2 linked regions of the Mus musculus genome follow. The protein of the gene in region 2 purifies or fractionates together with the protein of the main gene of each other region. This does not show direct contact. Links are inferred from orthologs where the notes say so. Each region holds a gene or a part of one and is shown on either strand. Other genes may lie near its edges.

Region 1 (8,493 bases), on a different chromosome or scaffold from region 2:
CTAGTTACAAATATGGGTGTGTTTCCCTCCTCCTTTCAGATATTGCAGAAAACCCCAAGGCTATGTATCAAATGTAGTAACACAATTAAATAAAAAGACTCTGATCATGAATGACTCCTAACTTGTTTGCAACCAATAATGATCTTACTGACCACTTATTGAGCAAGAAATATGTATCGTGTTATGTGTGTTATGTCACCATAGAAATTACATTAATTTAACACTGGTCTTATGTGGTGTACTTAACTTTTTACTAAATGGTCAGTATCTGACAACTTTGACGAGATGGTCATTTGTTTCTGGCTAAGATGGGACTCTTCCTTTGACTAAGTGATTGTAGGTCTTCTGTTGAACCTGCTGCACAATAATAATGTAGAAAACTAAATGGCTTCCTATTCAGTCTACTCTCCATTGTAGGATAAAAACTGACATCATGATGGTAGCTAAGTATCAATTTTTTACTCATTGCAAAACCACATTTGCATGTTTATTGAGGTTTAGCAAATAAAACATTACTGCTTACGGCTTCTCTCTTCTACTTTGTACTTGGTTTGTCTTCTAGAAGAGGCTGACAGAACTTTAATGGTCTGGTTAAGGTCACCACATGCTAGTGTATTGTTATCATTTGGTTTTCAGAAAAAGAAATACCCACACAAAGCACTCTCCTGAATATTCCTATCATAGGTATGAAAGCTCTCAATGAAGATGTATATAAAATGTGTGCATCAATACCTCCTGAGACACAATTTAGAAGAGATTATTTGATTCTTTCTCTGAGGCTTCTTTTTACCTGTTCTTCCCTTTGGTAGCAAGAAAGGACATGTGCATCTTGGGCGTGGATGTACTTCTCAGTATTCTGTCCTTAATTATCACACTAGATTATTTTTCTTTTCTTTTTTTTTATTTTTCTTTTTAAAAATTTTTTATTAGGTATTTTCCTCGTTTACATTTCCAATGCTAGCCCAAAAGTCCCCCATACCCACCCACCCCCACTCCCCTACCCACTCATTCCCCCTTTTTGGCCCTGGTGTTCCCTTGTACTGGGGCATATAATGTTTGCAAGTCCAATGGGCCTCTCTTTCCAGTGATGGCCGACTGGGCCATCTTTTGATACATATGCAGCTAGAGACAAGAGCTCTGGGGTACTGGTTAGTTCATAATGTTGTTCTACCTATAGGGTTGTAGATCCCTTTAGCTCCTTGGGTACTTTCTCTAGCTCCTCCATTGGGGACCCTGTGATCCATCCAATAGCTGACTGTGAGCATCCACTTCTGTGTTTGCTAGGCCCCGGAATAGTCTCACAAGAGACAGCTATATCTGGTCCTTCTCAGGGAAGGCTGGCGATCTAAGCACTATTACTATTGCAGCAAAGACATACTCTACTTGGTATGCATTACAGACATTGATTGGAGGATGAGGGGGGTTAGGAAAGTTAAGATTTCAGAAGATGACAGTCTAGATTCTTTAAGTCTATTTTACAATGTTTTTCTCTAGCCTAGGCCAAGAGACATAGTCAGTGAGGAATTTCATTTTAGAATTATTTTACATTTGAAGTTTCTAGAATTTGGCACAATTTCTAAATGTGTAGTGAGATAAATGGATGAGGAAGGGATTAACTTTAAAAAGCTAGATTTTGATTTTGTCCTTTAATTCATTGATTGCTTGTTTGTGTCTGTCATATCCCCATGTATGTACTTAGATTTATGTATCTGCATGTGAAGGATAGGAGGATTTCGGTGTCTTACTGTGACTTTGTACTTTATTCCCTAGGAAGAGGGTCTCTTACTGAACTTGTATGTAGACTTGTGGCCAAGAAGCTCCACAGAGCCCCTGGAAAGGAGTAGCTGAGAGAATTCTAACCTGATTGATGGTGATCTAGACTTTTGCAGCTTTGTTGTAGCTAAAATACATTTGAGGTTCTTATGACACACCTTGGGGGTATCGACTGGACTAGTGATGTTTATCCTTCTATTCATCAGAAACTTATATGAACTTGCTTTTCCTCAGGCATGGCTCTAACAGCTTTACAACTACTCTTTGAGGAAGTATGATTATCCTTATATTGCCCACATTTTATTTTTATAATTGCCATAGTTGTCTTTTATGGGATATAATGAGGATCTGTGCTATGATTAATTTAATTCAACCACACAAGATAGATAATCTTCTATTTATTTAAAGATTTTTCTTTTTATTTTCATTCATGTATGAGTGTTTACCTACATATTTGTATGACTATCACATGCAGTGTCCATGCGAGTCAGAGGAGAGAAATAGATTCCCTGGAATTAGAGTTACAGATGGTTGTGGGATAGCATATGGGTGCTGGGAAGCAAACCCCTTTCTTTCAGAAGAGCAGAAATGACTCTTAATTGATGAGCTATCTTCCCAACTCTATACCTTCATTCTCATAGTAGCAAATGGAGAACTGGCTTGTATAGCTTGACTGCTGTCATGCATCTTTTTTTTTTTTTTTCTCTTCAGAGGCAGATGGATCTTTGAATCAGAACAATGAAGGGACCCAGTCTCTCCATGGAAGTGGAGACTGTACATAATTTTGCAGGGGGCTTGGGTTTTATATGGTGAAAAGGGGGATTTGGGGATAGAAGTTTCATAATGCAGGTCAGTTCTCCTGAAGTCTCAGTGGAGGTTGGAGGTTGCTGGTATTTTCATCTTCTTATCAGAAGCTTCCCTGGGAAGCTACCACATGCCAGCAGTCCACAGATGATCCAAGCAGAATCACATAGCCTTCTAAGTGTATGTATTCTAAATATTAGTATTTAGATATGTCAAATAATGTAAATATGTAAAGAAGGAGGGAGGTAAAAACTGTTCTCAGGTTTACAGGGCTGAAAATGAGGCTCAGGAAATAAAATCATTTGGACAAGGTGATCTGGTGTTTAGTCATCTGACCTGACCTTTACTTCAGCAACTTCTGATTCCCTTCACTACTTCTTCACTAGCAGTGTCACATGTAGAATTATGTACTGTTCCCTAAAATTCATAGGCTGTGCCTGTTTCTGTGACTGCAATTTAAAAATTCATCTCCCAGTGCCATGTCCTATGACTTGAATTTAATGAGATAATTAAAGTAAACTAATGTCTTATGGGTCTGCCTTAATACAATATAACTGATTATTTTAAAAAAAGAGGTCAGGGGCCAGGGAGATATCTCAGTTGATAAAATGTTTCAAATTCATGAAGACCTGCAGATCCTCAGTAACAGCATTTAAAAAAATGAAATAAATAAACAAATAAAAAGCAAACATCGTAAAAAAACAACATCACAAACAACAAAAACCCGAATGCTGATATCTATAATTCCAGCACTGGGAAAAGGCTAGCTACAGGTGGGAGATCTCAAAACTTAACTGATCAGTCAGTATAGCCAAGGAATCAGTACCAGGTTCAGTTAGAGACCTCGGCTCCAAAACAATGGTGGAGCCTCTTGAGTTTCTCCCACAGCTCACGAGCCTGCTCCTATCTTTCCTGAACGTTCTCCTTTTAATAATAAACACTATGATCCTGTTTCCAATAATAAATAGTAATTAATAATAAAAGAAGATTGAGAACTGAGAACTGCAGAAGGCACTCAATAGTGAACTCTGGCTTTTACACACACACACACACACACACACACACACACACACACACACACACACACACACACACACGAAATATACATCCCCCCCGTGAACGAATGAACACGTACACACATAGGTAAAAGAAAGCATCATGACACAAGACACGGCAACTGATGATATCTTCATCCTGGGTTTTAATCTCTAGCATTGTGAGAAAATATGTTCCTCTAGTCTGAAACATCCAGTCCCTAATACTGTGCTCTGGGAGACTTGGGAGTCTAACTGAAGCAGTAAGCATCCTCTGTTGAAAATAAAGAAGGAATGAGGATGTTGCTCCACGCCAGTTCCCTGCCTTCACCAAGCCCAGAGGTCAGATGACTTCCTGGGATGAAAGCCAGCTTCCTCTTGCTGTTCCTCCAGTCGGTCAGCAAACGCCTTCTTCCTGTTCTAGTCTTCAGTCTTCTAACTTCCCTCCTGCGACGGGGCAGATCGATTCTAGAACAAAACCAAAAGTGAGAATGCTAAGGTTGGCACTCTCACTTCCTCTTTGAATATAGTACTTGCAGAGGGGCACCCACTGGGAGGGAAGAGGCAGGTGTCCCAGGGACTCTGCGCTGCCACCAGTTACAGATCGTCATGTTCTCTCATGGCCTCCACTGGTTGCAGAAAATGCCAGGATGATGCCTCCCTGGCTCCTGGCTAGGACTCTGATCATGGCACTGTTCTTCTCCTGCCTGACACCAGGAAGCTTGAATCCCTGCATAGAGGTATGTGTCTTGATCGCATGTGATCACACCCTTTCCTGCTAGCCTGCCTTGTTTCTCAAAACTATCCACAGCTCAGAGCTCCCTGTGTGTGCTCTGCTTAGTTTATTTTGCACGAAGGAGTTAAACTAACCAAAAACTTGAGAAGCCTTGGCAACAAAAAGCCTCAGTGTTAACACAGGGCAGGAACAGGCAGCCAGGGGTGTCTTGTTTCATTTAAGGCGTCTGAGTCATGATTTAGGGACTTGAAATTAGTAAAACTAGTTTATAGTCATTGTTCTGTGACATACCTGAGAGTCGTTAAAGAACTTACTGAACGTCTCTGAGGCCAGTATTCACGGGACGAAAGCATGACTGTAATCACTGAAAAATGTAAGTAGGCTGTAATTTCAGGGCTTTCTGTGGGAACTCTGGCCACTCAGCTTTTAGCGGTCATTCCTTCCCTTTCCAAATCAAGTGAAGGTAGCTGTGTCTTTTCTGCTGCTTTCGAAGCATCTTTGAGATGCTTTGAGTGGTAGCTCAGCAGGTAAGGTCAGTGGCTGCCAAGCCTGATGAAAATCTGAGTTCAAGCCTCAAGCCTCACAAGTTAGAGGCAGGGAATCTCCTCCTTTAAGATGTCTTCTCACTTGCAAGTGTCTGCCTTGGCAGGTGTGTATATGCATGAGCACACACACAAATGAATAAAGGGAACAATTGTCTTAAATGAAAGAATTTCTATTAAAAAATAAAACAACAAAACACACAAAAACACAAAGACTTTTCTAAGTGATTTTAGTATTCTGCAACTAATTCTAGGAGATAAAGAAATGGGAGGGGTGAGGGAAGGAGAGGGACAGAGCAACTTAAAACATCAATTAGTTACTGCTAAGGCAGTAACTCCCGTTTTGGTCGAATACTGAGTCGTGAGTAATCTGACCCATGACTCATTCTTGTTTTCCTCCTGCACAGACCACGCAATTATCTTAGAAGCTCACAATAGAACTGAGCAAACAAGGAAGGAATTCGGGGTGAGGTAGGCTCAGAAGCTCAAAACTGGTTCAATGAGTTAAGATACATGACATTCACATGGGGAAAAATACTGTTAATTTTAAAAAGTTATAATCACAGTATCTTGCTTTCTGATTCCTCAGTTATGTTGGCAGAGATGGAATTTCCAATCAGTGCTACACTGAGATAAAATCCCGTTGCTCTTGGTGTCTGGTGTGCTTTGTCAACTCTCAAAGCTTGCTTGTTCCTTCTGTAAGCCAGGTCTCAGGGCCCTTGGCCTTGTCTTCAGGAGTGATTCCTGACTGGTTTCCTAGTTCATATTCCTTTCTATACCCACACACAGTTTCTTCTTTATTTGTTGTTATTGGTCCAGGGGCTTAGATTTATCAAACTACTCCTTTATACTCTTAATAACTCTTTGGAACCATGATGGTTGCTTCATCCTACAGGGCCTTAGCACTGCCTAAGCTAACTACACACACCATCATCCCTCACCTAGGTCAAGGCTCACCATGCTAAAATTATGGAATCCCTGTATATAGTTTAAAACTTCACTGTTGATCAAATTGAAAAATTAAGAATAAATGCATCAAATTAGTTTCAATGATTTTTATGCAATTAAATATAGTTATGATGCGTGAAATATAATAAAAGCATCCCACACTAACACTGGCTAAGCACTAGCCTCAGGTCTGTCTCCAGCCCTATGGACAGGCCGAGGAGAACATGTTCTTTCCTTTAGCCAGGGTCTGTCTCACCCATGCCTGCTCTGTGTCTCCAGAGCTCTGAAATTGCTCTTTTCACCAGGCTCCATAAGTTACCATGGCTGGCTGATGCCAAGCACGCCCCACATTTCCAAATTCCTGCAGCTGGCTGGGGTGTACTTTTTTTTTATTAGATATTTTCTTTATATACATTTCAAATGCCACCCTGAAAGTTCCCTATACCCTCCCCCCACCCTGCTCCCCTATCCACCCAGTCCCACTTCTTGGCCCTGGCGTTTCCCTGTACTGGAGCATAAAAAGTTTGGGCCTCTCTTCCCAGTGATGGCTGATTAGGCCATCTTCTGCTACATATGCAGCTAGAGATACGAGCTCTGGGGGTACTGGTTAGTTCATTTTGGCTGGGGTGTACTCTTGCACACCACACTCTACCACCATACTTTTCTCTGGAGCCCAGTTGAGTTGCCATGTGAAGGAAAACACAACACACACTTGGTCTACAATCAACAGGTAACACAATGTTGGGTGCAGAACCTAGCATCCTAATTTTTTTTTATTAGATATTTTCTTAATTTACATTTCAAATGCTATCCTCACAGCCCCCTATACCCTCCCCTCTGCCCTGCTCCCCAACCTACCCACTCCTGCTTCCTGGCTCTGCCATTCCCCTGTACTGTTTTTGTAAACTAATCTATGTTAAAAATCCTCCGACTCAGGAGCCTCTTGTTCTTGTGGAGACTTGAGGACCCAGGATAGGGGAACACTAGGCTGTTAAGGCAGGAGTGGGTGTGAGGGTGAGGGAGCACCCTCATAGAGGTAGGGGGGTGGGGGACGGCGAGGGGGTAGGGGGCTTGTGGAGGGAAAACTGGGAAGGGGGATAACATTTGAAATGTAAATGAGTAAAATAACCAAAAAACAAACAAACAAAATCCTCAGGTGGCAGATCTTGGAGGATCCACCACTTGAATTGACAGCCTCCGACTATCTGCAATGTGCCTCTAATGCTCTCAGCCATCCACAAAGAGACCTTCCTTACTCCTGCCTCCCTCTTCCTCTTCCTCTTCCCGACTCGGAAGTCCCACCTACTCATCTAGTGATTGGTTTCCTGTAATGTTTATTAGGGGGAAATCCTACCACATAGTTAAGCAATTACGAAGATACCTTATGTTCAATTTTTGATACAGGAAATTAGACATTCAGCAACATTTTTGTTTTACTGGACATTTTGATTTCTCCTATGCGTGTTTCATATTTCATAGCTATGTGTGGCTTATAGCTGCAGTACTCTAATGTGGAGCTTTGATTTCAGGATTATCTTTTTCATTTTATGTAGATTTCTCTGTGAATGTCTCCTCAGGTTGATTTTTCTTGATTGCCTCATGTACATTTTCCCCTTTACCCTCTCCATATGCTCTTTCATTGATCATATCATTTTGTATGTTTGTCTTTTATTTTTCCACCATTTATTCTCCCCTTTGTGTAGAATAAACAAGAAGGGAGTATTACTGCTGGGTTTGTTAGCATGTCACCAATGCCTCTCAGTGGTTAACGCTAAGACCCTTTAGTACAGTTCCTCAGGTTGTGGTGACCTTCACCCATAAAATTCCTTTTGTTGCTACTTCTTAACTATAATTTTGTTATGGTGTTGAACGATAATGTAACTATCCCCTATGCAGGATATGTGATATGTGATCCTGTAAATGGATTGTTTGACCCTTAAATGGGTCAAAGTCCACAGGTTAAGAACCACTGGCCTAGATCATGATAGGTCTTCAGTTGTATGTGTAGTATGTGTGAAACCAGTGAAAGAATGACTTCTGAACACCATCTGATGTCCTCGTGTTCTGCCTGTGGCTTCTCCATGACAGAAGGCTCTGCCAGTTTGTCTACATTTGTTCCCACTTGTTATTATTTGCTTATGTTCTTTTCTCCTTTTGACATACATATTTTTTCCTTTACCACACATTTCCTTGATCAGCTTTCCTTCTGAATCTAGAATCTGTGTCTTTGCAACTTTCGTAGTTCTTATTCATGTTCTTCTCTGTTAGCTGGTTCTATGAGTGCAGTGCCATCAGAAATCATGTAACATGTATTCTTGTACCACCCATGGCCTTTAGCAGAAAAAGCCTACTATTTAACTTATACGGGCTGGTGTCCCACCAATTACACAATATTTATCATTCATTCATCCAACAAATGTCTATTGAGCATTGAGAGGTCACCATGTACCTTTCTGAGCCTTGAAGATAAATAGCAAACAAAAATCATCAGAGCATCAATGCTCATGGTTCAATTGATAAATGAAAAGCATCTGGAAAATAACTATATAGGCAAGAGATTTACCTTGTCATCAAAATCTGTAAAGGAAACAAAAGAGGGTGAGAGAAGAATTTCTGTCTGATGCCTTACTCTCTTAGATACATTGCCTTCAAGGAT
Region 2 (6,779 bases):
AATCCTCCTGTTGTTGGGCAGTGGTTGTACATACCTTTGATCCCAGCACTCAGGAGGCAGAAGAGGGTGGATCTCTGAGTTTGTTTTTTTTAAAGATTTATTTATTATATATAAGTACACTATAGCTGTCTTCAGACATTCCAGAAAAGGGAGTCAAATCTTGTTACAGATGGTTGTGAGTCACCATATGGTTGCTGGGATTTGAACTCACGACCTTCGGAAGAGCAGTTGGTGCTCTTATCCGCTGAGCCATCTCACCAGCCTGGAGTTTGAGGCCAGCCTGGTCTACAGAGCGAGGTGCAGGACAGCCTGGGCTACACAGAGAAACCCTGTCTTGAAAAACCAACCCCCCCCCAAAAAAAAAAACCCAAAAACAAAACAAGAAAGAAGAAAGAGGGCTGGTGAGATGGCTCAGTGGGTAAGAGCACCTGACTGCTCTTCCAAAGGTCCGGAGTTCAAATCCCAGCAACCACATGGTGGCTCACAACCATCCGTAACGAGATCTGACTCCCTCTTCTGGAGTATCTGAAGATAGCTACAGTGTACTTACATATAATAAATAAATAAATCTTTAAAAAAAAAAAAAAAAGAAAGAAGAAAGAAAGAAATCCTCTGTCTCAGCTTTTCAGATATAGCTTGGACAAGAGGAAGCTGCTGCCCATACATGGTGGAGGCAGGAGGATCAGAAGTGTAAGGTTATGCTGGGCTACATAGTGCAAGGCCCAATCCTGTCTTAGCGACAAAAAAAGCAAATAAAACACAAGTACTGTGTGTCCTGCTCTGTTTTGTCTATTCACTGCTCAGTGTGTCAATAAACATTTCTCTCTCCTGTCTGCTCTCTTTCTCTCCTCTCTCTGCTGCTATCCTCTTTCCTGGCTGGGAGCTGAATGCAGGGCCTCATGTATGACAGACAAGCGCTCTGTCAAGTCAACTGCAGCTCCACACCTCAGTGTGCACTTATTAGGCACTGGCTGTGTACCAGGCACTGTCCTGTTCCTATTGTTCTCACTATGTAGCCCTGGGAACTCACTCTGTAGACCAGGGAGGCCTCAACTCTGAGATCCTCCTGCCTCCTCCACTGCTAAGTGCTGGGATTAATGGCGTGCACTACCAGGCCCATCGGTTTATTTTTATTTCATTTTGTTCTTCCACCACATGGGTCTCAGGAACTGAACTCAGATCTTCAGACGTGGAAGCCTCTCAAGCACCCTTATCCACCCAGCCATCTTGTCGACCCTCGTGGAGCAGTTATTGTGCACCTACTGTGTGTCAGGCACTCTAGATACAGGAACTATAGACAGTTGTATCAGAGCCCTGCCCCTGTGGAGTCCCCAGATTGGTCAGGTAGGAGGACATTAGTTAGTGTGAGGTTGTGAAGAGTTGAGAGATGACTCCAGCAGGTGTGTTGAGAGAGTTGCCCACTGGGGAGGCCAGTGGGCTACTGCACTGAGGTTTTGTTCCCAAATGGTTGCTATTGCTGTCTGAGGGACAGCCGTGCAAAGGTCCTGAGGTAGGACAGTGCATTTCAGTCACAGCGCAGTAAGGTCAGAGAGAAGAGAGGGACAAACGATGCTGTATCCTCTGACTGGTGCCCCCTCACCCCACAGTCCATCCTCTCCACAGCACACAAAGGGTTCCCATGAGCATAGATGAAAGTTTCCTCCCTGTGACCTGCCCACAGCTTTCCTGGGCTCCCACCTCCCTGCAGCCCACCAGGCCCTGGCCGCCCTGGCCATTCCTGCCCTGCCTCCCTCTGCTCCGGCCTCCTCACTACTGCAGCTTGCCAGGATCCTCTTGCTGTACATGGGGCTGAGCCCTGTGTCCCAGGGCCTTTGCACTGAGTGCTCTCCGGAAGAACTCACCTTCAGGGGCGATCAACTCTGTGGTGCCCTCCCTGAGGCATCCTTCACCCCGGGTTCCGTCTCAGGCTCATTTCCTCCAGGGCACTTTTATTTCTTGAAATGACCTTACACGGTTGTTCTCATTTCCTGTTGCTCTGACAGAGGTCAGCAGCATCTCCTGCCGAAGTGGCCAGACACAGTAGGTGTGGGAGAACTGGTCAGCCTATGAGGGGACTGCACAAGTGCGGGGTGAGAAGGCTGGACGTGAGAATGGAAGTAGAGTGTCCTAGAAATGGGTAGAGTTTTGGTGTGGTGGGGAAGTCAGGACTGGGACTTGGTTGCTAGGGCTGTGTGTGTCCTCTGCTCCAGGGCCTTTATATGAGCTGCACCCTTCACTCAGGCTTCTCCATTTTTGTGTCCCTGGGATCTATAAACACAAGCCTTAGTCCTTGGAGTTCTTGACCCTTTCCGGCTTAGTTCTGCAGCACTGACCCGCTGCAAACATTACCCATTTTTCTCTGGCCCAGGGTTATATTTTTCTGTTTCTTTTGTCTCCACTATCACTGCCTCTGCCTGCATAGCCACACCTGATTGCCCCCATTTCCCAGCAGCCACAGAGAAGGTGGTCACCCTCTCTCTCAGCTCTCTCTCTCATTCCTGGTCTGCCATCAGCTGTTACCACTCCCACCTGTGACTGTTGCTCTGCCAACGGTTGTAAGGCCCTTCCCTCTGCCTACCTGGCTCTCATGAATTTGGCACTGAGCCCGGCCCCACCTCTGCTGCTCAAAATCAGGTCTTTGAAGGCTTTAGGTCATCTGTGTGCAAAGTCTGTGGGTTAGCTGACTGACCTGTCCACTTCTGGTTTAGCCCAGGGTCCTCTGCCTTGGGCATTTTCTCTGGGGCATTGTAGGCTGCTAGATGCTTCCCTGGCCTTCACGCACTCTATGCCAGGGCTCTCTGGTCATAGCAGCCACATCTGTCCCTGCCTGAGCGGAGCAGGCAGTGACCCCCCATTCCAGCCTGCCTATGGAGGCAGGAGAGGTGTCAGGGTCCCGAGGATTGGCAGATGCTCTGCGGTCTTCTCAGCTGTGAACAGGGAGCTGGGAATAAGTGACTGTCCACCTGAGGGTATGCCAGTTTATGCCACATCCACTCACCCACTCATTAAGAGCAGTCACTCATCACCACACCTTGTAGATGCAGCGCTGGGCATGGAACTTGGTGCTCCATGAGTGCTCAGCCAACAGCACTCTACCCCATGGACTCAGCCCTCTTCCTGATTTGACAGGCCCGGGACCCTTGCCTCTGCCTCCCAGGGTTGGGGTTGAATGGGTGCAGCATCTTGTCTGGAAAGTCATGATGAACTCCTACTCCTGCAGGTCTGTGCTGCCGCCCTCCAGCATCTTTGCAGCAGGGGACGAGGCTGTGTGGGAGGCTGTCGGTTCGGAACATGTCTCCACCCACCCCACCCTCTGTGGCTCCAGGCTTCATTCTCCCCCATCCATGGATAACCCAGGGCCTTCGCTCCGTGGTGCCTTTGGCATTCTAGGTGCCTTGGAAAGGGACAGGCTGACCCACCTGAAACACAAGCTGGGGAGTCTGTGTTCAGGCAGCCAGGAGTCAAAGCTTCTCCATGCCATGGTACTCCTGGCTCTGGGCCAGGACACGGAGGCCAGGGTCTCTCTGGAGTCCTTGAAGATGAACACAGTAGCCCAGCTGGTAGCCCACCAGTGGGCAGACATGGAGACCACAGAGGGCCCTGAGGAGCCTCCAGACTTGTCCTGGACGGTGGCTCGCCTGTACCACCTGCTGGCTGAGGAGAACCTGTGTCCGGCCTCCACAAGGGACATGGCTTACCAGGTGGCCCTTCGTGACTTTGCCTCCCAGGGTGACCACCAGCTGGGCCAACTCCAGAATGAGGCCTGGGATCGGTGCAGTTCAGATATCAAGGGGGACCCCAGTGGTTTCCAGCCACTCCATTCTCATCAGGGTTCCCTGCAGCCACCTTCAGCATCCCCTGCAGTGACCAGAAGCCAGCCTCGTCCCATTGACACACCAGACTGGAGTTGGGGACATACGTTACACTCCACCAACAGCACTGCCTCACTGGCCAGCCACCTAGAGATCAGCCAGTCACCCACTCTTGCCTTTCTCTCTTCACACCATGGAACCCATGGGCCCAGCAAGCTATGTAACACACCGCTGGACACTCAGGAGCCTCAGCTTGTCCCTGAAGGCTGCCAAGAACCTGAGGAGATAAGCTGGCCTCCATCAGTGGAGACCAGTGTCTCCTTAGGGTTACCACACGAAATTAGCGTTCCAGAGGTGTCTCCAGAGGAGGCTTCGCCCATCCTCCCTGACGCCCTGGCTGCTCCAGACACAAGTGTCCACTGTCCCATTGAATGCACAGAGTTGTCTACAAACTCCAGGTCTCCCCTGACGTCCACCACAGAAAGTGTTGGAAAGCAGTGGCCTATTACAAGTCAGAGGTCACCTCAGGTTCCTGTAGGAGATGATTCTCTGCAGAACACCACGTCATCCAGCCCTCCTGCCCAGCCACCATCCCTCCAAGCCTCCCCTAAGCTGCCTCCTTCCCCTCTGTCCTCTGCTTCCTCCCCGAGCAGCTACCCTGCTCCTCCAACCTCCACATCCCCTGTTTTGGACCACTCAGAAACATCTGATCAGAAATTCTATAACTTTGTGGTTATCCATGCCAGGGCTGATGAACAGGTGGCCCTACGTATTCGGGAGAAGCTGGAGACCCTCGGGGTACCTGACGGGGCCACCTTCTGTGAGGAATTTCAGGTGCCCGGGCGTGGTGAGCTGCACTGTCTCCAAGATGCCATCGATCACTCGGGGTTCACGATCCTGCTCCTGACTGCTAGCTTTGATTGCAGCCTGAGCCTGCATCAAATCAACCATGCTCTCATGAACAGCCTTACACAGTCTGGGAGGCAGGACTGTGTGATCCCCCTCCTCCCACTTGAGTGTTCTCAGGCCCAGCTCAGCCCAGATACAACCAGACTGCTCCACAGCATTGTGTGGCTGGATGAACACTCCCCAATCTTCGCCAGAAAGGTGGCAAACACCTTCAAGACACAGAAGCTCCAGGCACAGCGGGTACGCTGGAAGAAAGCGCAGGAGGCCAGAACCCTCAAGGAGCAGAGCATACAGCTGGAGGCAGAGCGGCAAAACGTGGCAGCCATATCTGCTGCCTACACAGCCTATGTCCATAGCTATAGGGCCTGGCAAGCAGAGATGAACAAACTTGGGGTGGCTTTTGGGAAGAACTTGTCACTGGGGACTCCAACACCCAGCTGGCCCGGATGTCCACAGCCAATACCTTCTCATCCTCAGGGTGGTACTCCAGTTTTCCCCTATTCCCCACAGCCTCCATCCTTCCCTCAGCCTCCATGCTTCCCTCAGCCTCCATCCTTCCCTCAGCCTCCATCCTTCCCACTGCCTCCAGTCTCTTCCCCACAGTCCCAATCCTTTCCATCAGCCTCCTCCCCAGCCCCACAGACTCCAGGACCTCAGCCTCTCATTATTCACCATGCCCAGATGGTTCAGCTGGGTGTCAACAATCACATGTGGGGCCACACAGGGGCCCAGTCATCTGATGACAAGACTGAGTGTTCGGAGAACCCCTGTATGGGCCCTCTGACTGATCAGGGCGAACCCCTTCTTGAGACTCCAGAGTGACCAGGTTGGACCCCACCTAGATGGCTAGAGTGACAAGATTGGACTTCACCTGGGTCCTTAAAATGATAGTGGAGGAAGGGAACCTCGCCTGGGTCCCCAGAGTAGCCAGAGGACTTAGCTTGGGCTCCCACAGTGGCTATTAGTTGGACCCAGCTTGAGACCCCAGAGGCAGGGAAGACCACACCTATAAATCAGGCCTGGGAAACATGCAGAAACCCCATTTGAACAGACTGTGGGACTCCAATCTGAATCCTCTATGTGGACAGAGGATGATGGGGCCAGAGGCACCTCTGAGGTGCCCTCAGCGCAGCCTCGTAAACTTCATTCACTGTGACACATGCTGTTCATAGGGTCTCTCTGGGGAGGATGCGGTCCCGGGGCACATAGGGAGGGTCCTGTTTTTATAATAAAGTTATTGACAACTGAGTCATAAGCCAGCGTCACCACACTCTATCGTCTTCAGGGAACAAGCAGGATACGACAACTCTGCCATGACTGGAATAGAAAAGGAGGTCGGCTGACCCAGTCCTTGAGAGGCAGGAAACGGAAATTATGTAAATATACTCATCCCATTGGTCAGTTTAGGCTACGGCACTTTCTTTTGCAAGGAACTCTAGGAAATGTAGTCTTTGGGGGTGGGGACCGGCAGCCATACCTCAGGAAGTCTTTTTTTGTTTGTTTTTTTCGAGACAGGGTTTCTCTGTGTAGCTCTGGCTGAGTAAGTCTTTTAATGTCAGGAAAGGAGGAGAAAAAGAAACGGGGGGAGTTGCTGCCAGTTTTGACTGCTTTGTGCATTTACTTATGTAGTGCACACATCCCAGGGCATTTGTGGAGGTCAGAAGACAATTTGTGACCGCTGGTCCTCTTCCTTCATGCTGATTCCTCCCAAGACAAGCCAGACCTTATACATTTTTTTTTTCTTTTCACAATTATTCTAGCAGATTTTGCTACAACAGGGCATGAGCGTGTGAAGTTAAGCCAAGGCTGTGTGACTTTGCATATTCTACTCTCAATTTATTTATTGGGTTTATTCTTTTTTTTTTTTTAAGATTTATTTATTTATTAAATGTAAGTACACTGTAGCTGTCCTCAGACACTCCAGAAGAGAGAGTCAGATCTCATTATGGATGGTTGTGAGCCACCATGTGGTTGCTGGGATTTGAACTCCGGACCTTCAGAAGAGCAGTCGGGTGCTCCTACCCATTGAGCCATCTCACCAGCCCGGGTTTATTCTTT

Evidence for each region. The genes of interacting proteins can lie anywhere in the genome.
Region 1: the proteins of Ticam1 (region 2) and Tlr4 purify together in Homo sapiens (affinity purification with western blotting; 3 studies listed by BioGRID). This does not show direct contact. The link is inferred for Mus musculus from reciprocal best matches to the Homo sapiens genes TICAM1 and TLR4.

The regions. Positions count from the first base shown.
Region 1 is NC_000070.6:66,823,571-66,832,063, forward strand, and holds the start of Tlr4 (toll-like receptor 4 precursor), read left to right. Parts: upstream 1-3,980; 5' UTR 3,981-4,261; coding exon 4,262-4,351; intron 4,352-8,493.
Region 2 is NC_000083.6:56,268,659-56,275,437, reverse strand, and holds the end of Ticam1 (TIR domain-containing adapter molecule 1), read left to right. Parts: intron 1-3,220; 5' UTR 3,221-3,344; coding exon 3,345-5,543; 3' UTR 5,544-5,976; downstream 5,977-6,779.